Saccharomyces cerevisiae S288C: one gene and its partners. The protein of the gene in region 1 interacts with the protein of each later gene in a biochemical or structural test. Each region holds a gene or a part of one and is shown in the gene's direction. Other genes may lie near its edges.

Evidence for each region.
Region 2: of the proteins of PRK1 (region 1) and PAN1, one has a biochemical effect on the other in vitro, tested with the Saccharomyces cerevisiae proteins (4 studies listed by BioGRID).
Region 3: the proteins of PRK1 (region 1) and ARP2 form a complex in vitro, tested with the Saccharomyces cerevisiae proteins (one study listed by BioGRID).
Region 4: of the proteins of PRK1 (region 1) and SCD5, one has a biochemical effect on the other in vitro, tested with the Saccharomyces cerevisiae proteins (one study listed by BioGRID).

Annotation. Positions count from the first base shown.
Region 1 is NC_001141.2:182,080-186,908, forward strand, and holds PRK1 (serine/threonine protein kinase PRK1), read left to right. Parts: upstream 1-1,857; coding exon 1,858-4,290; downstream 4,291-4,829. Other genes in the region: BMT5 (25S rRNA (uracil2634-N3)-methyltransferase), read right to left, coding at 38-1,048; LYS12 (homoisocitrate dehydrogenase), read right to left, coding at 4,438-4,829. UniProt on the Saccharomyces cerevisiae protein: Protein kinase involved in the regulation of actin cytoskeleton organization and endocytosis. Phosphorylates PAN1 which disrupts the interaction between PAN1 and END3, and between PAN1 and SLA1. Phosphorylates SCD5.
Region 2 is NC_001141.2:364,944-371,572, reverse strand, and holds PAN1 (actin cytoskeleton-regulatory complex protein PAN1), read left to right. Parts: upstream 1-1,664; coding exon 1,665-6,107; downstream 6,108-6,629. Other genes in the region: EGH1 (hydrolase), read right to left, coding at 1-869; U2 snRNP complex subunit IST3, read right to left, coding at 6,238-6,629.
Region 3 is NC_001136.10:397,444-401,249, forward strand, and holds ARP2 (actin-related protein 2), read left to right. Parts: upstream 1-1,896; coding exon 1,897-1,918; intron 1,919-2,041; coding exon 2,042-3,195; downstream 3,196-3,806. Other genes in the region: SF3a splicing factor complex subunit PRP9, read left to right, coding at 94-1,686; serine/threonine/tyrosine protein kinase MPS1, read right to left, coding at 3,554-3,806. UniProt on the Saccharomyces cerevisiae protein: Functions as ATP-binding component of the Arp2/3 complex which is involved in regulation of actin polymerization and together with an activating nucleation-promoting factor (NPF) mediates the formation of branched actin networks.
Region 4 is NC_001147.6:936,118-940,966, reverse strand, and holds SCD5 (Scd5p), read left to right. Parts: upstream 1-1,617; coding exon 1,618-4,236; downstream 4,237-4,849. Other genes in the region: DNA-directed DNA polymerase gamma MIP1, read left to right, coding at 1-1,346; ATP-binding cassette multidrug transporter PDR10, read right to left, coding at 4,470-4,849. UniProt on the Saccharomyces cerevisiae protein: Regulates both fluid phase and receptor-mediated endocytosis. Involved in vesicular transport at a late stage of the secretory pathway. Regulates actin cytoskeleton organization.

The DNA of each region.
Region 1 (4,829 bases):
TTCTTTCATCAACATGGCGACATTCTTCCTTCTGTACTTAGTCTGAATCAGAATCTGTGTCTTTTTTGCTTTTACGGTTATGTTTTGAACTATTCGAGACATATTTACTAAAGATGTAGAACCTAGCATCACGTTCTTTCGCAGGTTTTGTAGTATCTTGTTCGCTATTCGTTCTCCGGTGATGATATCCTGGAAAATTTTCCCATTGGAATTTGCTCGATCTGCTCAGAGTTAGTCCATTTTTTTTGGCTAAAAGTTTGATTTGCCATGAATCATAGGGCTCTCCATCGAAAAGGGACAGTATGATGTTACCATAACCTTCGGCGGTCAATTTTTTAGCCTGGGGAGTATCCTCATTAAGATCATAGCCTTGCGTATAACGAAGAGTATCATTTTGAATTTTCGTGTTTATAAGATTAAATAATTGTAAGGAATTTTGGAAAAAGTTAAAAATTAAGTCCTGATGCTCTCTAATATTTCTTTCTTGATCCTTAATACCTTTTCCATTATGGGGAAAATTGAAAACTATATTTTGTAAAGGTTTGTTACCCCAACGATGATCGCTAAGCCTGTTGATTATTTTAAACCAAGTATTATTTTTGGAAATTTTAAAGCTCTTTACGAGCTTCGTAACGTCAATCTGGAAAAATATCGGAATATTTAGATCTTTTAAGTACTGGTAATTTTCCTCAAAAGTATGCGGATATTTCAATTTCAGCTCATTCACAGAATTATCGTAACTTGTTATGATTAAATTGTCACTTTCAATATAGTTTTGTTCAACAATGGATCTGGCAAAAGAAAAATCTCCTTCACCACATAGCATCAAAGTTTCATCCTTCTCAAAGGGCATAACCTTCCCTTGATTAAGTTTTTGGAATTCTTGGTTTCTCTTCACGGTTTTGTTATTAGCGCTCGAATTTTTCTTTCTTAGTTCATGTTTTTGCTTACTTTCAATATTCCTCACTAATTTCACTTTGGCCTTGTGCCTTAATAATGCACCTTTTAGGCCTTTACTCCCAATCTTACCCTTCAATTTCCTGGCCATTGATAATTTTAGGTTATGATTGGTGTTAATCTATGATTTTAACGTTACTAAACGTTGTCAGGCTCCAATGAATTTAAGTAATGGAAGGTTTTCTTTTAAGCTCATCGCATCGCCAATTCTTTTCTTTTTTTTTTTTTTTTTCCGAATAATTTACATTCTTTCTACAGGAGAAAAATATGGGAGCCAGCTTGAAATACTAAAATCATTAATAATACTGATGTACATGATCCAATAACAAGATCAACTACGACTTTTGTTATTACTGATTCAGAAGGAAAAAAAAATTGACTTCCAAGAAGTCATAAAAATAAGTGGTCTCTAGCGGGATCGAACCGCTGATCCCCGCGTTATTAGCACGGTGCCTTAACCAACTGGGCCAAGAGACCAGGAATTTGTTGAAGTATTTCATGTAAATTTAATATTAGTACTGATAGAGATTTCCGATATATATGATCGCTCTCAATTATTTTATATCAAGTAAATGTCAATGTCGTTAGTTTGCACTAGCTGTTACTATTTATTCTTAGTAAAGGTTTTTAAAAAAAACTGTAATTATAACCAGGCAGGCGTATGCAGAGCGAAGGTCTTGGAAAAAGAAAAATATAGAACAGTACATTTAGGAAACGCTAAAAAAGTCACCAAGCAGGCAGGTCACAGGCTCCACTTGAACATAAGTTAGTTCGCTAATACAGGTTGAATTTCCATTGTGGGATAGTTTATTATCTTCAGCGAAAAAAATCTTTTTTGATTGAAGTGTTGATCAAGATTATTTGTAACCTCCTATCTTTAGTTGAACTGATCCAAAAACAATGAATACTCCACAGATTAGTCTGTATGAACCCGGGACAATATTAACTGTGGGATCTCATCATGCTAAGATTATCAAATACCTTACGAGTGGTGGATTCGCACAAGTATATACTGCCGAAATTTCCCCTCCTGACCCATATAGCAATGCTAACATAGCATGCTTGAAAAGAGTCATTGTCCCCCATAAACAGGGTTTAAATACCTTGAGAGCTGAAGTGGATGCTATGAAACTCCTTAGAAATAATAAGCATGTTGTTTCTTACATAGATTCACATGCTGCAAGGTCTGTAAATGGTATAGCATATGAGGTGTTTGTGTTAATGGAATTTTGTGAACGTGGAGGTCTTATAGATTTTATGAACACCAGATTACAAAATAGATTACAAGAATCTGAAATATTAGAAATTATGAGTCAAACCGTCCAAGGTATAACTGCAATGCACGCTCTGCAGCCGCCATTGATTCATAGAGATATTAAGATTGAGAATGTACTTATTTCTCATGATGGCTTGTATAAAGTTTGTGATTTTGGTTCCGTTTCCGGTGTGATAAGGCCACCTAGAAATACTCAAGAGTTTAATTATGTTCAACACGACATCCTAACAAATACTACAGCTCAGTATAGATCACCTGAAATGATTGACCTGTACAGAGGGTTACCTATCGACGAAAAATCTGATATTTGGGCTCTTGGTGTCTTTCTTTACAAAATATGTTACTATACTACGCCGTTTGAAAAAAGTGGTGAAGCCGGTATACTACATGCAAGGTATCAATATCCATCCTTTCCGCAGTATAGTGACAGGTTGAAAAATTTGATACGTCTTATGTTAATGGAAGCACCATCTCAGAGGCCAAATATTTGTCAAGTTTTAGAGGAGGTTTCCAGGTTACAGAATAAGCCTTGCCCGATTAGAAATTTTTACTTGTTAAGAGCAATGAATCAGAATGCGAATACCCAATTGGCCGGTGAACCGTCTTCGACAACTTATGTTCCAACACAGAAATTTATTCCCGTACAAAGCCTTCAGAGCATCAACCAGCCACCAAATATGATGCCTGTAACTCACGTCAGTACTACTCCTAATTTGGGTACTTTCCCTATATCTATTAATGATAATAACAAGACAGAAGTAACGGCGCATGCTGGCTTACAGGTTGGAAGCCATTCAAATTTGACTAGTCCCTTAATGAAAACAAAATCCGTTCCACTTTCTGATGAATTTGCATCACTATATTATAAAGAGCTACACCCTTTTCAAAAGTCTCAGACTTTCAAATCAGTAGAAAGTTTCCAATCCCCACAAAGGAAGTCTATGCCTCCATTATCGCTTACTCCTGTTAATAATGACATTTTTGATAGAGTTTCGGCAATAAATCGTCCAAATAACTACGTTGATTCTGAGACGCAAACTATAGATAACATGGCTGTGCCAAACTTAAAACTATCTCCCACCATTACAAGCAAATCACTAAGCTCCACAAAAGAAATTGCTGCTCCAGATAATATAAATGGAAGCAAGATTGTGCGTTCACTAAGCTCTAAGTTAAAAAAGGTTATTACTGGTGAATCTCGCGGCAATTCTCCGATTAAATCAAGGCAAAATACTGGTGATAGTATCAGATCAGCATTTGGTAAGCTTCGTCATGGGTTTACAGGAAACTCAGTGAACAATAGCAGGTCTGCTTCCTTTGATAATAACAATGTCAACGGCAATGGTAACAATACAAACAGGCGATTAGTTTCGTCTTCAACCTCCTCCTTTCCTAAATTTAATTCTGATACCAAAAGAAAAGAGGAATCAGACAAGAATCAGAGACTGGAAAAACGTCGCAGTATGCCTCCTTCAATTTTATCAGATTTTGACCAGCATGAGAGGAATAACTCGAGAACTGGATCAAGGGACTATTACAGGTCTCATTCTCCAGTGAAGAAAACTCAAGCATCAGCTAAAACGACATCAAAGCCTACTTTGATACCAGATAATGGCAACGTTAATATAAATCAAGAAAAGAAGGAATCAATTCAAAGAAGAGTGCATAACTTACTAAAGAGTTCTGATGATCCGGTAACGTATAAATCCGCATCCGGGTATGGTAAATATACAGATATTGGTACAGAAACTTCCAATCGACATTCAAGTGTAAGAATAACACCAATCACAGAAGAAAAGTTTAAGAAAACCCTTAAGGATGGTGTTTTGGACATCAAAACGAAAAGCAACGGTAAAGATAAATCAAGACCACCACGTCCACCACCAAAACCACTACATTTAAGGACAGAAATTCAGAAGATAAGAAACTTTAGTCGTTTACAATCAAAGAAACTGCCGATTGAAAGAATTTCCAGCGAAGCCACAGAAACTATTGTTGATGTTAACGTAGATGATTTAGAAGCCGATTTTAGAAAAAGGTTTCCCAGCAAAGTTTAAAACTTGCTCTCACACATAATAGACTATGTAATATTAAAAGTCATACAAAATGTACAAATTTTCTTTCGTCAATCATTTGAAATTTTTTGAAATATATCTTGTCACTCATTCATTTATTTATTCGTTTCTATTTTCCTATTATATGCTCTATAATCTCGACAAAACGTCGTCAACGACTTGTTGAGTAGAAGCCTTACCACCTAAATCTGGTGTCTTGATAGAACCCTCTCTTAAGTTAGCATCAACAGCCTTGTAGATATCTTGGGCAGCTTCGTTGTGGCCCAAGAATTCCAACATCAAAGCAGTAGATCTTATAGTGGCGATTGGGTTAGCAATACCTTTACCAGCAATATCTGGTGCAGAACCATGGCATGGTTCACCAATGACAATTTCTGGACCTACGTTGGCGCTTGGAACAACACCTAATGAACCGACTAAAGCAGCAGCACCGTCAGATAATATATCCCCGTATAGGTTTGGTGCCACTATCACATCAAAACATTGTGGTTCTCTGAACAGCCTATAAACCATGGAATCCA
Region 2 (6,629 bases), 180 kb from region 1:
GTTTTGCCCAATTTCAAATTTCTCTCTTTCGGAATCACATCGAGATTTGTTTCACCAATGTAACCACAGTTTGGCTCGTTCATAGACTCTAATCCAATAATGCAGTTGCTCTCAAACAACTCAGGAGCCTTTTCTTTAATTCTTGCGCACAGTGTCATGATTGCATCATTAAACCTTCCTTGCAAGTAATCCTGTATGTTTTCTCCATTAATTGTGCACTTAGGAGCATATTGTTTCCCACCAAAGAATAACGTAAACATTGTTTGACACGCCAGTTTGAAGTAGTTTGTAGGCCAAACCATCTTAGGGTAGGACTCTTCATCTTTGCCAACTTCCCTGCCCGTTTTGGGGTCAATATAATAATTATGTAAGATTGCAGCATCGGTGGCCAGGAAGTTTGCAGGTTGAAACCCTGCACAGTATAAGGTCCATAGCGGTGCTCCAGATCCACCGCTAAACCTAGACCAGACGTCTTGGTGAGGGTCCAAATAAATGTACATACCTTGTTGTACGCTGTTAATCCTGGTTAGTACCTCGACGATATAATCCATATAGTCAAAATCGTACTGTCCTGGACCAGCATGTTCAAGAGATTCCCAGGTGAAGGGTAAACGAATGGTATTGTAACCCAGTGATTTCAATCTGATGATATGCTGTTCGATATCATCAAGAACTAAGGGGTGATTGATGAAACTGACTTTATCAGCATCCTCGAAAAACGTGTCATTTTCTATGGGAGCGTGGGTGGATAGGAATGGCTTTGCAGGGATTTTAACTGACGGATCCAAATTGACACCACGCAATTGGATCTCGTTGCCATCTTTATCGCAAAACTGACCGTCTGCAGAAATGTGTATTTTGGCAGGCATATGATCTGTTCTTATTAAATTCAAACAATTTAGGTACGAAAGAAAAAGAAATAAATAAATAAAAAAAGAGAAGAAAGGTTAAGAAAATAACTGTCAGTAGAATTATTGCGAAATATAGAATTAATATTAATTCCATTGTTAAGGTTTACCAGAGATATAGAAACCTTAAACGAAGGCAATATTCGAGCGGATATGAAAAAAATAAAATAAACATACTCCGATACGGGGAGTCGAACCCCGGTCTCCACGGTGAAAGCGTGATGTGATAGCCGTTACACTATATCGGATTATAATCTATATTTTTTCTACTTCGATCTTATGTACTACTAATTTGATAATTTTGGGTTTAATATGGTTTTTTACTGAAGTACCTGCTTACCAACAGTAGAGATATTTAACGAATGCTTTCCTAAGACGCTTTTTATGCTTCAATTGGGCAGATATTAAAAATTCATCAATTAACAATGTTTATTTGACAATCTGGTTCGTCAAAAAAAAAAAAAAAAAATCACGTCCAGATCTGTTAAACCTTAAAGGTAGGTGCTCACGATAACCGATTGATCTCTCAGTCGCATAGTAGCTATGTATACTCTGTTTATCAATCGCTTGTTATTATAAATTGGCTTGATCACATGACACGTCGACGATATTTTTTTCTTGTTAGGGGCAAAAGTTGGTATTGGAAGAAAAAAAGCATTAGAAAGCCATATAGATCTATTGGCGAAACACACGTCGAGAAGCAGGAAGAGGAAGAATCTATCAGCGACGCGAAATTGCTAATCTGTACAACTGAATATGTATAACCCGTACCAGCAACAGGGCATGGGTTACCAGCAGCAACAGCAGCAACAGCAGCAACAACCAAATGGATTCTACCCGCAGCAGCAGCAAGGTCAGTCTTCAAACCAGCCCCAAGGCCAGCCTCAACCACAACAGCAAATGGCGTTTAACCAGCCTCAGGCTACCGGAATTGGTGGGATGCCTCAAAGTTTTGGTAATTCTTTCTCAAGTATGCCACAGCAGCCCCAAACGGGTTACAATAATAATGGAAATAATGGTAGTGTATATGGTAATGGTAATTTTGGCCAACAACCCCAGCAGCAACAACAGCAGGCGAAACCGCAGCATACGGGATACGTACCAAATTCCAGTATGCCTATGATGAATACTACTGGCACCATGCCTCCACCTAATCCGGCTCAACAGCCTCAGCTACAATCCATACAACCCCAAGGAACAGGCTATTACCAAGCTGCTAATACTGCAAATGTACACTCAGTACAACCTTTGCAATCTCAAGGGACAGGATATTATGTGTCTACACCCAATTTGATCTCTTCTAATCAAACCCAGCAGCCCCTTCAGGCCCAGGGCACTGGTTATTATCAATCTCAACCTCAACAGGTGCCACCTCCTCAGCAAGCACAGTCCTTGCAACCTTTGAAGCCGCAGCAAACAGGATTTTACCTTCAACCGCAAAACCAAGCTCCCTTAGAACCATTAAAGCCCACCGCAACTGGCTTTGTCAACTCATTTGCCAACAACGGTCTAAACAATGATATCAAAATCCCTGCCATTAGATTGTCGTTTATTACTGCCCAAGATCAGGCAAAATTTGAGACTCTATTCAGATCAATTGTTACCAATGGTTCGAATACTGTTTCCGGTGCTAATTGTAGGAAAATTTTGATGAGATCCGGTTTGCCACCTTCTCAACTCGCAAGAATTTGGACGCTTTGTGATACATCAAAAGCAGGTGAGTTACTGTTTCCTGAATTTGCATTAGCAATGCATTTGATCAATGATGTCTTACAAGGTGACACTATCCCTTACGAATTGGATTCTAAGACAAAAAACGAAGTTTCAAGTTTTATTGACGCCATTAATTTAAGCATTGCAAACCAGGATTCTTCCGCAAACGATGCCCCAAAAACTCCCTTTGATGAATTCATTACAGCGGGCGTACAAAATTTGCAACCTCAACCAACAGGATATATGCCTCAAACTAGTTTTGGTATCCCATTACAGTCTCAAATTACTGGAGGCGGTGTTGCCTCGGCGTTGAATCCTCAATCCACAGGATTTATGGCACCAACCACTTTCAACATGTCAATGAATACCGGAACTCCCGGATTGAACCCCCAAATTACTGGAGGAGCACCTGCCTCTATGCAACCCAACATTACTGGCAATGCTTTGCAACCTCAGACAACTGGTATGATGCCACAGACAACTGGTATGATGCCACAGACAACTGGTATGATGCCACAGACTTCATTTGGCGTTAATTTAGGACCTCAGTTGACCGGCGGTGCTTTGCAATCTCAGTATACCGGAGGATATGGTTCCGTTATGCCCCAGCAAAGCGGTCCTGCAAGTATGCCCAATTTGTCCTTTAATCAACAAGGATTACAATCTCAGTTAACCGGGTTGCAACCCCAACCAACGGGTTTTCTACCACCATCTAACTTTAGTGCTACCATGCCGTTGACTGCCCAAAAGACAGGATTTGGTAATAACGAAATTTATACCAAATCCAACTTTAATAATAACTTAATTGATAACTCAAGTCAAGACAAAATTTCCACGGAGGAAAAATCTTTGTTTTATAAAATTTTTGAAACTTTTGATACTCAAAACAAAGGTTTGTTAGATTCCCCCACTGCTGTGGAGATTTTTAGAAAATCTGGCTTAAATCGTGCAGATTTGGAGCAAATTTGGAACCTTTGTGATATAAACAACACCGGCCAATTGAATAAACAAGAATTTGCACTAGGTATGCACTTGGTTTACGGTAAATTAAACGGGAAGCCAATCCCCAATGTCCTACCTTCAAGTTTAATTCCCTCCAGCACAAAACTTTTAGACAACTTAAAGAACCAATTAAAGACAGAGCCAACGACCACAAAAGAAAAACCTTCGTTTGGTAAAATCGATGCCTTGAGCTACAAAAATAATGATGATGATGTTTTGCCGAACTATAGAAATCGTAGGAAGGTTTACTCTGCGAAAAATGAAGAGCAATCTTCTTTTTCTTCACCATCTGCTAAATCTGTTAATCATTCTAGCAGCACCCTTCAAACCGATGACATTTCGGTAGATAAGACTGTTGAAAAGAAGACAGCGAAACCAAAATATGCTGGGTTTTCAAGAGAAATAAATCTGAAAAATATTGCTTCACTGGAAAATGAGATCAAAAATATCAGCAATCCTGAAAACTGTTATGACAGTTCTATTCCATCAGATTTGACAAGCCGCTTTGATGCCATCATCGCCAAACTTCCAAACCTATTCAATGAAATTTCTACAATTGATAATGAGATTACCAATGCAAAAATTCAGTTGTATAGAAAAAAAAATCCTTCTTCGATAATTGGATCTGGTCCAAATGGTGAAATAACTGAAAATGATAGGAAGAAAGCTAAGAGTAGGGCTTTGTTGAGAGCAAGGATGTCTGCTCTAACAGGAAAATCAACGGAATCGGAGGATTCACTTTCCATGGAAGATGAACAGCAAAGTGCTGAAATCAAGAGAATCCAGCAGGAAAATGGTAAGAACCAAGAAATCATTAAAGACATAAGGTCATCTATATCAGATATTTCTGCATCCTTGAAGTCTACTATGACAGGATCGAATATGATATCCAATCAAGAATTTGAAAGATGGGAATTTGGCATAGGGTTAGAAGATGGTGTTCGTGAATTTTTGGATGATCTGAAGTCAAATTCAAATAAATCAGTGACTGAGTCATCTCCCTTTGTGCCTTCCTCAACACCAACCCCTGTAGATGACCGTTCCTCGTCGCCTTCTTATTCTCAGTTCAAAACTGCTGAAGAAAGAGCAGCTTATCTGAAAGAACAGGCAAAAAAGAGAATGAAGGAAAAATTAGCTAAATTTGATAAGAATAGGCGAAATGTTACTCAAAGTTCCAGATCGATTAGCAGTGAAAACTCTCGAGAACAGCCACAACAGATTGCTGGTTCTTCCAATTTAGTTGAACCTAGAGCAACTCCATTCCAAGAAGAAAAATATGTGGAAGTCGCTCAACCAACTCAACCTGTTCAATCAACACAACCTGTTCAACCAACTCAACCTGTTCAGCCAACTCAACCTGTTCAGCCAACTCAACCTGTTCAGCCAACTCAACCTGTTCAACCAACTCAACCTGTTCAGAATGTATATAATGCAAAGCAAGAATCCGATGATGAAGATGAAGATGATGAAGAAAAGCGTTTACAAGAGGAGCTAAAACGATTGAAACTTAAAAAAAAGGCTGATAAAGAAAAAAGACTTGCAGCTTTACGTAAGCAAATTGAGGATGCTCAAAATGAAAGTGACGAAGAGGAGACAAACGGAAAAGACAACTTTGGCGGCCATGTGAACGTTCCTCAGGCCGCTCCAGTGGCACCATCTGCAGCTTTTTCGCAAAATTCTACTAATGCTCCTCGCTCGGTACACGCTGCTGTTACCCCTGCCGCAGGTAAGAACAGTACTGGTCTGCCTTCCACGACAATGGGCCATAATCCATACTTCAAGGATGCATCAGCTAGCTCTACATCTACTTTCGATGCTCGCGCTGCAGAAATGCAAAGAAGAATCCAAAGAGGATTGGATGAGGACGAGGATGATGGATGGTCTGATGAAGACGAGAGTAATAACCGCGTAGCTGTAGATAATAAGGTTGAAGAAGCAAAGATTGGTCATCCTGATCATGCACGTGCTCCACCTGTTACTGCTGCTCCCTTGCCGTCTGTTACCCCTGTTCCACCTGCTGTCCCTGTCCCTCAGGCGAATACCTCTAATGAAAAGAGTAGTCCTATTCCAATAGCTCCGATACCACCTTCTGTTACTCAGGAGCCACCCGTCCCGTTGGCTCCCCCTTTGCCTGCTGTTGATGGCTTTCAAGAACCTCCAATTCCCTCAGCACCTGCAATAGCTACTGCCGTGCAAAAATCGGGTTCTTCCACCCCAGCTTTAGCTGGAGGCGTTTTGCCTCCACCCCCACCTTTACCAACTCAACAAGCTTCCACTTCAGAACCTATTATCGCTCACGTTGATAACTACAATGGTGCTGAAAAAGGCACGGGCGCATATGGATCCGATTCTGATGATGACGTTTTATCGATTCCTGAATCAGTTGGTACAGATGAAGAGGAAGAAGGGGCACAACCAGTTTCTACTGCAGGTATCCCATCAATTCCACCTGCAGGTATTCCTCCACCCCCACCCCTTCCATGAAGATTTAATTTGCTTTCTATAGATACGTATGTATACTAATTTCTGAAAGGATGTAGAATTACAAATATGATATTGATTATTTTTTTCTAGGCTATATGAATATAAGATATGCGATGAAAGAAAAAATTATTTAATTTGGTTGGTCCTTTTTAGCCAAAATGAGTTTCTCAGCATTGTTCTTCGAAACTATATCTCGATCCAATTCTTCCTTTACAGCTTCATAGTATTTTTGTAAACTCCTTTTTGGCCTATAAAAAGTATGATCAATTTTGAGGGCTCTACCGCCAATTTTAAATCCATTTAAATTATCGACTGCTAGAATCGTTGACCGTTGATCCTCATATTTCAAATATGCAAAACCTTGCGATTCTCCTGTGTTTTCATCCCTGCTAAGAATTACATCTACAGGGACTCCATATTCAGAAAAGACTGTCAATATGTCACCTTCTGTTAATTCTCGGTTGAGATTTCCGATATATATATAAGCATTATCCTTATATTCATTATGCCATGATTGATGCG
Region 3 (3,806 bases), on another chromosome or scaffold:
TTATACGGTAGATCAAGAACCTTCGGTGAGCCAAGCGAGGGTGTATACATTCATTTAATTTTGCTTTAATAGGAGTAGGAGGGCATCATCTCAATGAATTTACTTGAAACAAGGAGGTCCTTGTTGGAGGAGATGGAGATTATTGAAAATGCCATAGCAGAAAGAATTCAGCGGAATCCAGAGTTATATTACCACTATATACAAGAATCGAGCAAGGTGTTTCCTGATACTAAACTGCCTAGATCATCGTTGATTGCAGAGAATAAAATATACAAGTTTAAAAAGGTTAAGAGGAAGAGAAAACAGATAATTTTGCAGCAACATGAGATAAATATTTTTCTTCGAGACTACCAAGAGAAACAACAAACTTTTAATAAAATCAATCGTCCAGAAGAGACACAGGAGGATGACAAGGATTTGCCTAATTTCGAAAGAAAACTACAACAGCTAGAGAAGGAACTGAAAAATGAAGATGAGAACTTTGAATTGGATATCAACTCTAAAAAAGACAAATACGCTTTATTCTCATCTTCTTCTGATCCATCGAGGCGCACAAATATATTGTCTGACAGAGCTCGAGACCTAGACTTAAATGAAATATTTACTAGAGATGAGCAATATGGTGAATATATGGAGCTGGAACAATTTCATTCTTTATGGTTGAATGTAATTAAACGGGGCGATTGTTCACTGCTTCAATTTCTCGACATCCTAGAATTATTTTTGGACGACGAGAAATATTTGCTAACCCCACCGATGGATCGCAAGAATGATAGATACATGGCCTTTTTGCTAAAGTTGAGCAAATATGTAGAAACTTTTTTCTTCAAAAGTTATGCTTTGCTTGACGCTGCGGCAGTTGAAAATCTAATCAAATCTGACTTCGAACATTCATACTGTAGGGGATCTCTTCGGTCCGAGGCAAAAGGTATCTATTGCCCTTTTTGTTCGAGGTGGTTCAAGACATCTTCCGTTTTCGAAAGCCATTTAGTAGGGAAAATTCATAAGAAAAATGAATCTAAAAGAAGAAATTTTGTGTACTCTGAATATAAACTGCATCGGTATTTGAAATATTTAAATGATGAATTTTCTCGAACGAGAAGTTTTGTTGAAAGAAAACTGGCATTTACTGCAAATGAAAGAATGGCAGAAATGGATATCTTAACACAGAAGTATGAAGCACCTGCATATGATTCGACGGAAAAAGAGGGGGCCGAACAAGTGGATGGTGAGCAGAGAGATGGTCAACTGCAAGAAGAGCACCTCTCTGGTAAATCGTTTGACATGCCATTGGGTCCGGATGGATTGCCTATGCCATACTGGCTATACAAACTGCATGGGCTTGACAGAGAGTATCGCTGCGAAATTTGTTCGAATAAAGTTTATAATGGGCGACGCACTTTTGAAAGACATTTCAACGAAGAAAGACATATTTATCACTTGCGATGCCTTGGTATCGAACCTTCTTCAGTATTCAAGGGCATAACCAAAATTAAGGAGGCACAAGAGCTCTGGAAAAATATGCAGGGGCAGTCACAGTTGACATCTATTGCAGCAGTTCCCCCAAAGCCTAATCCTTCACAACTAAAAGTTCCTACAGAATTAGAACTAGAAGAAGAAGACGAAGAAGGAAATGTAATGAGTAAGAAGGTCTACGATGAACTTAAGAAGCAAGGTTTGGTGTGAAATCTCTCTGTGATATGTATATTTGTTTGATAGATAGCAGTTGTATGTATTTATACTATTCTTAGTAATGACCTTATTACCCGTCTTGTAGAATTGAAAGGCGAAAAACAATTTGAGGACCCATATAATGGAAGAAAACGGACGTGAAAGTTAAATATACGTACCAGAAGACAAATCACAGTAATAAACTAACAAAACTATATAATAATAATGGACCCACATAATCCAATTGGTATGTTGTTGATATTTTTAGTGTTTGTGGAGGCAATTGAGCTCGGTGCCCCTTTTGGCTTTGCCTCTTTTGCATTTTAGTTCTTTTACCCCTATATTATTAATACTAACCATCTCGATATAGTCCTTGATCAGGGTACTGGTTTCGTCAAAATTGGTCGTGCTGGCGAGAATTTCCCAGATTACACGTTTCCTTCTATTGTTGGTAGACCCATCTTGAGGGCGGAAGAACGTGCCAGCGTTGCTACACCATTAAAGGACATTATGATTGGTGATGAGGCAAGTGAAGTTCGCTCTTATCTGCAAATATCTTATCCTATGGAAAACGGTATTATTAAGAATTGGACAGATATGGAACTTCTTTGGGATTACGCCTTTTTCGAGCAAATGAAACTACCATCCACCTCCAACGGTAAGATTTTACTAACGGAACCTCCAATGAATCCGCTGAAAAATAGGGAAAAAATGTGTGAGGTAATGTTCGAAAAATACGATTTTGGCGGAGTTTATGTTGCCATCCAAGCTGTTCTAGCATTGTACGCACAAGGTTTGTCTTCAGGAGTCGTCGTCGATTCCGGTGACGGTGTTACTCATATAGTCCCAGTTTACGAATCTGTCGTTTTGAGCCACTTAACAAGAAGATTAGATGTTGCGGGTAGAGACGTTACTAGGCATTTGATTGATCTGCTTTCTCGTCGTGGTTATGCATTTAACAGAACTGCAGATTTCGAAACTGTGCGTCAGATAAAGGAAAAATTATGTTATGTTTCATATGATTTAGACCTAGATACAAAATTGGCTAGAGAAACAACCGCCCTTGTGGAATCGTATGAGTTACCAGATGGCAGGACAATCAAAGTGGGACAAGAGAGATTTGAAGCACCAGAATGTTTGTTCCAACCTGGTTTGGTTGACGTTGAACAACCTGGCGTGGGCGAGCTGTTATTTAATACTGTGCAATCGGCTGATGTTGATATCAGAAGTTCCCTGTATAAGGCCATTGTTCTTTCAGGTGGTTCAAGTATGTACCCAGGGCTGCCTTCGAGATTAGAGAAAGAATTGAAACAATTATGGTTTAGTAGAGTTTTACACAATGACCCTTCAAGACTTGATAAATTCAAAGTTAGAATTGAAGATCCTCCAAGGAGAAAGCATATGGTTTTCATTGGTGGTGCCGTTTTAGCTAGTATCATGGCTGATAAAGACCACATGTGGTTGTCTAAGCAAGAATGGCAAGAAAGCGGGCCATCTGCAATGACTAAATTTGGTCCAAGATAGATTTGAACTTTATTGATCCAAAAGAATTAATAAAAAAGTTTAAATCTACGAATGAAAAATGGAAATGGAATAATATAAACTTATATATAAATGTAATAAGTTAATAAGGCACAATTGTTGAACAAGCAATCAAAATATAATATTTCACTGAGCGCCGTTAGAGGATAGTTATCCTTTTCTTGGTATTTCAAGTATTCAGTGTCTGTGTCGAAAAATTGATTGATGATTTATTTAAATGAATATATATAAATATGTAAAAAAGAGTTGATCAAAGTAAATAAATCAGTACATGCATGGCAAACTCTAAATGTATTTATGTTCATAACTGGCACATGCTTTTCTTCCTTATGCGGCTCTTCTAAATTTTGTAATCTGCAAATTTCCTTAAAACAGTGTCTACCACATCATTGAGATCATCTTGTGATATATGAGGCTTCTCAGAGCCATATCTAACGGCATTCCTAATAAGGTCTTCCATAATCGATCCGGATATCATAAAAGGTTGAAGGAAAGTGCTACTCAGGACTTTATCCACAGTCCATCTTTTGTCTGGGTTCCTGTACAGACATGCTTTCATTAATTCAATGGCAGACTTTGGAATCTTTTCATTA
Region 4 (4,849 bases), on another chromosome or scaffold:
GTGGATCTGAGTCAATTCTATTCAATAAATTAGAAAGCATCGCGGAACAAGAAACTCCAAAGACACCGGTACTGGGATGTGGTATTACCTATTCACTTATGAAGAAAAATCTGAGGGCGAATTCCTTTCTACCTTCAAGAATCAATTGGGCCATCCAGTCATCTGGAGTGGATTATCTACATCTTCTTTGTTGCTCCATGGAATATATTATTAAGAAATATAACCTTGAGGCAAGGCTTTGCATTTCCATCCATGATGAGATTAGATTTTTGGTGAGCGAAAAGGACAAATACAGAGCTGCTATGGCTTTGCAAATCAGCAACATATGGACGAGAGCAATGTTTTGCCAGCAAATGGGGATAAATGAATTACCGCAAAACTGTGCCTTTTTCTCGCAAGTAGATATTGATTCTGTCATACGTAAAGAAGTCAATATGGACTGCATAACCCCCTCGAACAAAACCGCCATTCCTCATGGGGAGGCGCTTGATATCAATCAACTGCTAGACAAATCCAATAGTAAATTGGGTAAACCAAATCTCGATATCGACAGCAAAGTATCACAATATGCCTATAACTACAGAGAACCTGTATTTGAAGAATATAATAAATCTTATACTCCAGAGTTCTTAAAATATTTTCTTGCGATGCAAGTCCAGTCAGATAAGCGCGATGTGAATCGGCTAGAAGATGAGTATCTGCGGGAGTGTACATCCAAAGAATACGCTAGAGATGGGAACACTGCAGAGTACAGCCTCCTAGACTATATAAAGGATGTCGAGAAGGGCAAAAGGACTAAAGTACGTATTATGGGATCCAATTTTTTAGATGGTACCAAAAATGCCAAAGCTGATCAACGAATCAGATTACCTGTCAATATGCCAGATTATCCCACACTTCATAAAATTGCTAACGATTCAGCAATCCCAGAAAAGCAATTGCTGGAGAACAGGAGAAAGAAGGAAAACAGGATAGATGACGAAAATAAGAAAAAATTAACCAGAAAAAAGAATACCACGCCTATGGAAAGGAAGTACAAAAGAGTGTATGGTGGCAGGAAGGCATTTGAAGCGTTCTATGAATGTGCAAATAAACCGTTAGACTATACTTTGGAGACAGAAAAACAATTCTTTAATATTCCTATAGATGGAGTGATTGACGACGTTCTGAACGACAAATCTAATTATAAAAAGAAACCATCACAAGCAAGAACGGCATCATCATCGCCAATAAGAAAGACTGCGAAAGCAGTACATTCCAAAAAATTGCCGGCAAGGAAGTCAAGCACTACAAATAGAAATTTGGTTGAGCTGGAAAGGGACATTACTATTTCTAGAGAGTACTAGGCAAAATCTGCATTAGCTTTCGCATTTGTATTTATATATACAGCACATTATAATATTATTTTTTTATTTATTTCTACTTACTTTTTTTCGCCAAATGAGAAAACAAAAGTAAGTTGCCCCTATTAGAAAAAGAGTTAACATTAGGAAACGGGGACAAAACAAAAGGTAGAATTCAAAATAGGAATTCAAAACCCAAATTATCTGCATCTTCTCGTTAGCTAAGATTTTATAGATCATTGCAGGCTCGATAAATTTTACATGGTAACGAAACATGTCGTTTGATTGGCTTAATGTTCCGGGATTGGACTTAAGCAGCGGGGACCAAGCAGAAAAGAGGCCATCGAATGGATTAGGACCACCCAGTGTGTCTTTTGATTTTGGTATAAATACTGCTGCTCCACATGATTCCAGCTTTTGGGATCAGGGATCAAGAAGTCACAGTGATACAACTTTGTCTTACAGAAATAATCACTCAAATACAGCAGCTGATAATGCCACTAACGTGAGCTCTCCTCAAAAGGATAATCCACCTAATGGGGAGGTACGAACACTTTCTGGAGGCGATGTGTACGCGGAGTCACCAGAAGACATGCAAGTCCCATTGTCTTTATCACAAAACCAACTTACCCATGAAGAAATAAGGACATATCTAAGATGGTACCACTATATATGTTTGAGAACCCATGGAAAACTAGTAAGATTGAACGACGTGTTTAGGTTCTTGACCAATTTTAATTTATCACAAAAAGTAAAAGATAGAATTGTGGAAATTTTCCGTAGCTGTAAAAATGCGTTAAATATTGGTCAATTTTTCGCTGTTTTAAGATTAGTTTCTAGAGCTATTATATATGGCATCTTACCTCTAAGACGCATGATCTTGGAAAAGGCACCTGTTCCCAAACCACGTCCTATCCTAAGTAGTGAGAATCACGAAGAGGTGTACGAGGAGGTGGAAGACGATGATAGTTCTGCCAAAACTGGTGATCAAAAGGTCGATTTTGACTCATTTGCTTCATTGCTGTTGACTGGTAAGACAACGAGAAAAAGAGTCAGGAGAAGAATCAAAAATTTGAATTTTAAGAGTAAGAAGGTTAGGTTTTCAGAGCATATAACATTTCAAGACCCTCCAAACCTCAATCAAGAATCATCTAATAATAGTGAAGCAAGAAAGCAAGATCCTGATGCAGAAGATGAAGATCAGGATTCTAATAATGACAGTCCTTTGGATTTCACATTGCCCATGGATCAATTATTAAAGAGGCTATATAAGCGGAGAAAAAACAGCGGATTAGTTTCGAGTTTGCCCAGCGAACAACAAGAAACTGAGGAGGAGAAGAAAGTTTTGGAGGATATGAAGGATTCCTTGTCCCATTTCAAACAAATACAGACTGTTGATTCTGCCTCATTGCCAATTTCATCGGTATTTTTACAGAATGGCAATACTCTACCAACTAGCAATGTGAATAACACCACTGTTCCACAGCAACTTCCGTTAGAACCTTTGAAGCCAACCGCCACAGGTTCAGCTAATCACCTGGTGCGAGAAGAATATAATCAGGGGTTGCATCCAAGCAACGGTGCCATCCAAACAGGTTTACAACCTTTAAAACCAACAGCAACGGGCTCTGCAAATTATTTGATGCGAAGTCATATGGAACAACCTCAGTCTATCAAACCTTCGAGTACACCAGAAACAGTTACAAACTCTGGGGGACTTCAACCTTTGAAACCTACCGCCACAGGTTCTGCAAATTACTTGATGAAACAGCATATCTCACCTTCAGTTAATAACCCAGTATCTTCGATGTTTCAGGCGCAATTTACGAACCAATCTTCATCTCCACAAAGTACAGGACCAGCATTTCTGAATTCTCCGAACATTACTCTTCCTCAAAGCAATCAACAGCAACCTTACCAAGAGGTTAATCCGACTCAAGCGAAAATTGAACCATCTAACATATCGCCTCAACACACCTACTCTAACAATGTTCGGATTAATAATGGTAACATCGTATCCATGCCGAAAGTAGAAATAACTGGTGCATTCCCCCCTCAAAACACTCTTCCTCAACATCAGCAATCGCATTTGCTTTCTCCTCAAAATACGATCCCGCAGCACCAACGGTCGCAATTGATATCTCCACAAAATACCTTCACTCAAAATCAGCCCATTCTTTCTCCGCAACATACTTATTCCAATAATCAAGCAACAATGATATCCCCCCAGAATACGTATACTAATAATCAACAGCAGCCCCAACATCTTCCACCTCCTCCACCTCCACGCGCTCAGCAGCAGCAACAAGGGGCCATTGTGCCACCTCAACATATGTACTCTAACGTGCAAAAGCAGAATAATTTGGTGCCGACCCAACCCTCCTATACAAATTCACCAAGCATACAATCTCCAAATTTTTTGTCACCTCAGAATGCTGCTAATAGTTACTTTCAATCTTTACTTTCTTCTTCACCATCTCCAAATCCTACGCCATCAAATGCGTCTACTGTTAATGGCAATAACGCCAGTAATGGCATAAGTTCATTCCAAAATACTAGTGCGGCAATGAACAATACTCAATCTCATCAGACGTATATTCAGCAGCAACAACAACAACAAACTCAACAACGAATATATGGTGGCCAACTTTCTCAAATGCAACAACATCCGGGGCAACTTCACTTAAACAACAGTGATATACATAGCCAACCTAACAAGCCTAATTACGGAATGCTAGGGCAGCAAGTTCATCAACAGCAACAGCAACAGCAGCAGCAATTTCCATTCACTGCAGATGTTAATAGATCCAATTCAAGCGATATTTTGGGTAACTTGCAGTCATTGCAGCAGCAAGTCGATGCTTTACAAATCCAATATAATAGGAGACCATAGTATCGTAAGCTAAACGAGGTGTATAGTTTTGAAAGATAATATATGTAGGTATATGTGTACATAAAGTCACAAAAGTGATGTAATTTATGAACACCTGTTTACTAGCATTATTTATTGTCTTGATTATTGAGCTAGTCTTTTAGTTTCACCAAACATTTAGCAACATGGCGTAAACCTCTGAACAATAGTTAACTAATTTTGCATATACAATGAATGTAGCCAGTAATATTTAATTATTTCTTTAATTTTTTGCTTTTCTTTGGAACCCGCACCAGCCAGTATAAAAATATTGCTGCACAATAGTCAAAGACAATATATGCACTAAAAATGCCATAGTTCATCCATCTACGTGAATACGAAGAACTCACAGTCGCCAGATAATCATTGGTAGAACTGAATTGACAAAAGTGACATTCAGTTTCGGAACTCCCATCGAGCAGATAACCCGTCCCGGTGGATTGCATATAAGGTTCCATATATTCCGAGCATGTCATACCGCTTGGAGGAACAATTTTTAAAAGTTCGTTGCTGGAACAAACGACACTAGCATTGGCCAGTCCTACCGATAGCAGAGCATCAATGAGGTATGTCAGTGGCGATACTCTATACATAA